Linked DNA regions of Lepisosteus oculatus. The protein of the gene in region 2 interacts with the protein of the main gene of each other region in a pairwise test. Links are inferred from orthologs where the notes say so. Each region holds a gene or a part of one and is shown on either strand. Other genes may lie near its edges. The genes, in order: castor1 and zc2hc1a.

The links.
Region 1: the proteins of zc2hc1a (region 2) and castor1 interact in binary tests that used the Homo sapiens proteins (3 or more experiments, as listed by UniProt). The two-hybrid records come from large-scale screens. The link is inferred for Lepisosteus oculatus from reciprocal best matches to the Homo sapiens genes ZC2HC1A and CASTOR1.

Annotation. Positions count from the first base shown.
Region 1 is NC_090717.1:4,660,409-4,664,333, forward strand, and holds the start of castor1 (cytosolic arginine sensor for mTORC1 subunit 1), read left to right. Parts: upstream 1-1,340; 5' UTR 1,341-1,540; coding exon 1,541-1,653; intron 1,654-3,925. UniProt on the Homo sapiens protein: Functions as an intracellular arginine sensor within the amino acid-sensing branch of the TORC1 signaling pathway. As a homodimer or a heterodimer with CASTOR2, binds and inhibits the GATOR subcomplex GATOR2 and thereby mTORC1.
Region 2 is NC_090701.1:1,211,591-1,215,515, forward strand, and holds the start of zc2hc1a (zinc finger C2HC domain-containing protein 1A), read right to left. Parts: upstream 3,161-3,925; 5' UTR 3,002-3,160; coding exon 2,872-3,001; intron 2,809-2,871; exon of another isoform or gene 2,554-2,808; intron 2,548-2,553; exon of another isoform or gene 2,406-2,547; intron 1-2,405.

The DNA.
Region 1 (3,925 bases), on a different chromosome or scaffold from region 2:
TTTTGAGCAGAGAAAGGGAAACAAAATGCCTGCAGCAGATAGAAATACTGATTAATAATAAACCAGACAAGTGTGTGTGTGGGGGGTAAATTTAAATCATGATGTGTGACATACAGTACTGTAGCTATTGTTACTTTGAGCGAGGTACTTAGATTTCTCTAGTAAAATGTCCAGCTGTCTACAGTACATTTTGTACTTTTCCATTGTATACAACTCAGCAAAATAACACAAATGTAAAATAATTTACTTACAATTTGGAAAGGACAATTTGTTTGCAGTGAGTCTACAGTGCTGTGTCTTAGGCATGAAATGGATAATAGGCATTTATTCTAAAAATGAACAGAGAAAGAATGTCGCTGTAGTAAATTAAAAAATATGCTCTATCAGTCAAAATGTAGTCTATTCTACTAAAATAGTATTAAAAGAGAACACTGAAACGTTTAATTGTATTCAACTATTGCATGTAGTGTATTGTCTTCAGTGGCTGATCGGGGAGATCAATATTTTGTACTTAATACTGTACATATCTTTAGCATCTTTTCAAAACATGAATTTATATCATTTATATTAAATATTGCAAAGGAAAGTAGATTGACTGTACTATATATGTTGTATATGTCAGATAGTATTTTTGAAAAACTGTTTCCCCCTGTATTATATAAATAAAACAAACATTGTAGTGAAAAAACAACAATATTTATTTAGCTCATTAAATAACATAGAGTGTGAAGGATATAATGTTTATAATGGAATGTTAAGATGTTCTCGCAGCAGGCCAACACCCTTGTTTGAACAAGGTCATCTGACAAGGCATGGTACGAACAGTATTTGGGTTTTGGCGTCGAGGACAGAACCCTGCAGAAAAACCAGAGAAAAGTTAAAGGCTGCTCGCAGCTTACTGTAACACTCGCAGGTGTCAACATCAAAGCCATATCCAGGTCACCGGGCTTAATACCCCCGTTCTATTAGCTTATGAAACTATTGGTTTAGTGAGTACAAATAAGGCGAAATAGATTTCTATATCCAGCACGATGAATACAGTAAATTATTTGAAAATGTCTGACAATGAATAGCTGCCTGGACTGACTCCTTTTTCACTCAATTCATTTTTTCTTTGCAGTACTGTAGTTCTTTATGAAGGACTACAGAACAAAACATGAAATTCAGCACTCTGTAACAGTACTGTACATGCACCGTTAACATACTGTGCTGCAGCTTGTATAGGGGGGATGACACAAAAAGAGCAGCAGCAGCTATCTCCAGTCCCTGTCCCTTTAAGTGCGAGGGGGCGTATGCAATTTCATAGGCCTGTCTTTTATTTAAATGTCTTTGCTTCGGAGTCGGATTGCGCTGTATTCTTATTCGCTGAATGATGCAAGACGGGGGATGGCGATCGGGTGCTTGCAGGGGAATGCAACACAACACTACTAGACCGTTGCAAGTCTTTAGAAACGGGGAGTCATTTCCAGAAGTCCCCCGCAAGCTGTGCTCTTAGTGACTTAGTTAATTTTAGGCACCGTTGAAAACAACAAACAAGAGCATGGATTTGCATATACTAGACCATAGACTGAAAGTGACTAGCATCTGTAAAGATGGGTTAATGAATTTCACTCACCCATTGATCAAACTCATTTTTCTTCGTAACAGGACGAGGTAAGGCGAAGAAAGACATTTTTTTTAACCAATTAAGTTTCCAGCTGGATGACATCAGTTGCTGGTAACATTTACAATATTTGGAAATGCAATGTTGCTACATGCCCTAGTATCGTTCACATCGAAATATAAACATAAGCATATCATCATCCAACTCTCTGTAGCTGATGGAAAGGCCTAACTGCTATAGTTTACAAGGGGTAGAGTGCTTAAAACGATGTGACCAGTAGCACACTGGTAAAGCAATATATGACACCCATGAAATTGATGAACGAAAAGTGTTATGCATGTAAATAGGGTCACTTTTTTAGTGGACGCGTGTGTTAATTAAGCGGAGAAGTTACCTTAAAGTATCAGGTGTTGTTTAATGCTTTGCAAATACTGCTTTGTCTAAATGCCAGGGATACCACTTCGTCTTTTTGTTTTAACTGATCAGGAGGATAACTGGCGTGTTTGAAAGTGTCATTTGTACAGGTTTTACTTCTTTATTTTATTCGTTTTTTCCCCTGCTTTGGTTACGTGTCGATAAGAGGGTTTGTTTGACTTGCAAGGACATGAGAAAACTTGTACGTACTGTCCTTTCAGTGTGCCAAGTGTAAACGTTTAAGATAATTTCTCTGTGACATCTGCCTGTGTTTTGTAACTTAGTCTATGGAACTGCAGAAGCACAGTATAGTGTTTTAAATTATTTACCGGAACACCTTAATTAGCGTTTGGAAAGCTCGAGTGAAACAACTAGAAGGGACGCCACTGACAAATCAGTAGAGTTTAGCAAACAGTACAGTATATAGACCGTTTTTGTTTTAAGTACAGACTGGACAAACCTATATGTCACGACTTGTTTTAACCCCACCTGACTTTAATATGATGGTGATGCAATAATGTCGTTCACAAAAGGATTAATTAATTTCTATAACTGTTAACCTAACTTTGAACTGCAAATATATGCACTCATCACAAAGTTGTCTTCAGCATTATTTATGTTTTACTCCAACGTTTTTTTTTTAAATGGCAAATGGCAAAACTGAGCTCTCAAAATCAGTGCGCTTTTATCATAATGTAATTTCTACGGAGTTTAGAGGGGATCTCTAAGCTTTCTCCTAGTTTTTAAAGGTTAACTAAGTTTGTGATTGTTATTGACCTTTAGTATAATTGTTGAAAGTTGGTTTATTTTTGGTCTACAAAAATGAGCTACGCCTTGCTGAACAAAATAAATTCAGATCTGACAGACTGCTGTTTATGTAAAAGCCAGCTACATCAGTGTCTAGCTGGTTTCTCCAGTAATACTCAAGCATTAATCTGGCAGACAGCACATCTGTTTGCTTAGTTGTTTTTCTGCTGTTTCAGGGGTGAACTCTTGCTTTCCAAACCTGTATATAGGATTTTTTTTTCTTCATAAAAATAAGTAATCTGTATATTGCAACGACAGCATTGTTAGGCGTTTCAGGAAATAAAGCGTGGACTGTCCTCTGTGTTGAAAGTATTCTCAGAAGAGATTTTGCTTTGTATCTATGTATACATTTGTTAATGGTAAACTCTGGGGGATAGGTGAAATTCTCCTATACAAAAACTTATTTAACTATTTTATTGATCATATTTAAAGGGGGAGACGGCTAAATCTAAGCCCATAAAACAATTAAAATATTGTAGTTATAAAAAAAGTCCCTGTCTGTTTTAAAGGTAGTGTACCTTGTACTCCACAAGGATCATCTGTTCATGAAAGTTTTTCTTTGTGTAAGAATTTAGTTGCAAAAATTCAACTTGGAGAGTTAATAATTAATGGGCACTGTATTTAGATTTTCCTGTCTTTGAAAGCAGAAAGCACAAACAGATGATGGTTTTAAGTCTAACATTTTGGAGAGACTGGGATATTTGCCCATTTAATGGTGATGGCTTCAGTTATGCAAGAGTTGGGGAGGGAAAAAATTAGAAATTATTTTGTTTTACAGCATATCGCCAGCTACTTCACTCTTTGAGCTTTGCTTTTGATCCTGAATGTGAAGCCTGCGGTTTTTAGAGCATGATCTTATGACTTATTCCATGAAGGTGTTTAGGTAGAATTGTTATGTCTTGTTTATTTATTTTTTTATGCACCTCTCTAAGTTTGCAATGCCTCCAGGTAGATGCTGTGCTTGCACTATAAACATGTTTGCATAGCATCACTGTTTATACAGACTGCTGAAAAAGAGAGAGAGCAGTGTTCACTGCAGGTGGCCTGTGGAGCAATTTTTAGAAAATAACTGGAAGTCCTTTCTTTGTTACACAATTGTTA
Region 2 (3,925 bases):
TATCCCCCATACTGGAATGAAGGATCGAGTTTAGTTCAGTGCTCGCCTTCCATCTCCCACAGCAAAATACTTTAAATAATTTGGCAAAGACAAACACTGGATTATTAGCAGTAATTAGCATTATCTTTATGTCGCAAAGAACGGAATGTGTGCTGTTCTGCAACACACAAATCTGCTAGCCAGCTGCTACTCTTCCCCAGACTTGAGAGGCAGACAATAAGTTACTATATTAAACAAAGCGACTGTTGGCCACGAACTACTGCTTGGACAATGGCTGCAATAGATACAGTACAGGGCTTAAACAGCTTGCAGGCACTTACAGACTATGTACGCTGCATGATCTGAAATGTGTTATGCAGGATGCAGGACATCAGTTTGTTGAAAATACTGTATATCTTTGTTAGAAATAAGTACGTTTATTTAAAGTTATAGCAATTCTATTTTTTTACTTTTCTGTTATGATTTGTAAAGATATTTCTTTAACCCACGGGCGAAATTAAGAATTTAATTTAATGTAATTCAATTAAGGGTATAATATATTGGGGCCTTAGGCCTTACAAACTGAAGAATGTACATGATCCGTTGAAAACAATAATCTAGTATGCAAATAGTTTATTGGCTTTCTTACTATACAGTCCATTGAATGAAGACGTAGCCCGTGATTCTAACCGGCGTGGACACAAAGGCATCTCTAAAACTGTGGCGATTATTCCATCAGTGAGAATCAGTTTGATACTCTCCCAATTAGAGTACCTCAATCTGTTTTTATGTCCTTATGGCTGTCTGTAACGGCGTAGGCACTTTATAACAGAGCTGTCAGAGTAACCCCTAAAACGCACTACATTTACGATTGACAATGATGAAAGGAACGTACGAGGACTGCATGTGCTGTGTGTTCATACACAGTCTGCACAGCATCTATAAGGAGTTTGTTGTAGGATACATACTGTACGCACATGCGTTTCACTGGCCGAAGTTATCTCATGGTGAAGGCTGTGTTAAAGGTAACACAGCTGTCGGTGGCTGCTAATTTTGTCTTTGTATTGGCAGGAATAAAGAGGTCTCTCTTCATATACAGGAGCTGCGGCTCCTTCGGCGCTCTGAAAAGGCAAGAGCCTGCACGGTGGACTCCGGGTTGTGCACACGCCTGGAGATCACCTTTCTCCTGTTCCCGAGTGCCGAAAAATACTGTGTACAGGTACGGTACTTAACAAGGAACGCCCTTCTCATATACAGTCCTGTGCACACTGGGTCCAGTACTGGGTCTGTATGTAGTCCTGGTACACGACGTCACTTTCACCGTTGCCACATGTGCCTGCATTGCGCTTCAGATCTCATTCCGATACCTGAGCACACGAAACGTTCAAACTGAAGCCGGTGGTATAAACTGAAGCCCTGGCTGCTTGTACAGTAATGGCGAGCCATTGCACGGCGTTGACTGCGTCTCCGCTTGGACTCGGAGAAAGGGCTTTGAGCTGAGGAAGACGGAGGTCTTCACAGGTGCTTCCAATATGTTTAAGATACCTAATATTACACTACAATAGCACACGTTAAGAAAATATTACAGTACAGAAGCGAGTATCGCTTGAATGTTAGGCTGTGAGTTCCAAGTCCAGGAGCACAAAGACCGACTCTGAACTTCACCATAAATCTAAGACGCAGGGAAACACAACTTCCGTTTTCACGTTATTTAATGAAAAAAATAAACGTTTTAAGATCAAATAAATTCACAACACTGAAGCTCCAAAGCTTTCTGAATGTTTCTGCAGTAACAGCCCTTTTCCCCAGAGTTTCCCAGCTGGTATCAGATGGGAATGGGTGAACAGGTTGTAACCGACGCAGTCAAACGTTTCAGGTCTGATCGTTGCAGAGTTTTTGCGAGAAACAAAGAGAAATGACAGACATCTAGACAATCACTAATCGAAACAATAACTTGCACTCTCAAATGTTTTTGTTTTCATTTCAGTTTGAACGCTTATAAAAGAAAATCTTAATAAAATACGGATTACAATGCGAACCTGCATAGCGATTCATGCAACCCCAATAGAAATAGTAAGAACTGAGATATTTCCGCTTTGCAAGTGGTTGGTCGTTTTTGGTGGATACTACAGACACCCTGATAGTTTTAAAACATTACATGTGAATAGTTTGTGGAGCAATTCAAATGGGTTCTGCTGACGGAATACTTATTTTTGTAATTGAAGAAAAAAAAAGTCTGTGACAAAGGACGAGACCTCTCTTTCCAGGGAAATTGTAGGGGAATGCCGCACAAGTTTCTAGATGTGCGGGGGCTGACAGATATTTAGGACGAGGCAAAGCACGGGAGGCCGCATGCAGTCATTCCCATCGCAATCTGCCGTGGATATTCTCCCTCTCCCTCCCTCCGCCTCGGGAGAGCATCCCGGAATCCCGATGACATCATTAGACAGCCAGAATGGCAGGAGAGGAGCGCTCTCGGTAGTGCAGTCCCGACACAGAGACAGGAGAGGCCGCCTTTCAAAATCCGCTTCCTGCGTTGCAATGACTGGACTGTCAGAGCTTTAAAAGGTACAGTACGTGCTACAAGGGGGTCAGCCAGACCGGGGCGGCGATAACGTTTTCACCGGGTTCAGCGTCATGATACCCAAGAAAACACATCTGCAGAACGAAATCCTTCAGCTGTACATTGTGTGTGCGGGCTATACACAGAACACGTAACTGCTAGTGTGTCTTTATAATGGCATTTATATTTCGCTATGTACAGTACGTTCGTGTTTTGGAACTGTAAATATTCGCCCCAGTCGCTGGTTATCCGCAAGGTTTTATAAGGTAAGCCTCCGTGGAGTCGACCTTTATCTTGCTGGGGGAGGGGCGAGGGGGTGGTTGCTGTACCTGAAATCGCTGTGTGAGAAACCGCTTCAAAAACAGCGACGATCAGAGCTGCGGTGCGCCTGGGCGATGTCCGTCCATCGCCGAAAGTGGTTTCCCTGCGGCGGTGCGCTTGAGAGAAAGCGCTGCGCATTGTGCGCTTTGTGCGCTTTGTGTGCTGGTGCTGTCCTTTGTGTTGTTTACAGCGGGGTCGCCGTCGCCGCTCCGGAGAAACGCGCTTATCATGTCCTCCTCCTGTAAGGCCTGCGGACGGTGTAGCTGGGTGGTATAGGCTCGGATTCAGGCACGCCGTGGTTTTTATGTATATCAAGGTCTCTTTTTTTCTCTCTCTGTGAATCGAGAAGCGTGTTTCAGATTGGAGTATTCCGCCGCTGGCCCTCTTATTTCAAGGGATAGGTGATCGAGGAGAAGCCATGTTTTAGTGTACAGTGAAATTCTGAACTTGACTGGGTGACGGGGGAATTCTTTTTGCAAGCATGTCATTTTAGGTTTCGTGACAGGTGCCTTTCCCACAAGATAGATAGGTGAAGGATAGCATGAGAACACAGGCCACAGAGTACTGTACCTGCACTCTTGGTTTCAGGATGCACTGGCTGATCTGATTTACCCCTCACCGGAGGTGTGTACTGTATGTGGCAGTTCCGGTCCAGTATTAACCTTTAGACTGGTTTTAAATCCATATGCCAACCGTGAGCCTCACCCACACAGGGGGACTGACAGTGGATAAAACTGCCCGGAAAGTGTGGGCATGCACTGCGCCTGCCCTCGGGGGGACAGGCCCAGACTGTGCGAAAGAGCCAGCATCCCAGTGGCCACATGCTCTCGGCAAGAGAGAAACTCTTGAAAGGTGTTGGGACCCGTCTGACCCACTCTGTGCCTTGGGTGGCTGCCTCACCTGACACAGCTCTGGGGCTGTGACTCTCCCTGTCATCGCAGACTCTCGGAGACCTCCACAGAGGCTCCTCTGAGGCAGAGAGTGGATGACAGATCGTCAGCTGAGTGCTGATGAGGCAATTAGACCACTGATTAGACCGCGAGAGATACGCTTTCATCAGGA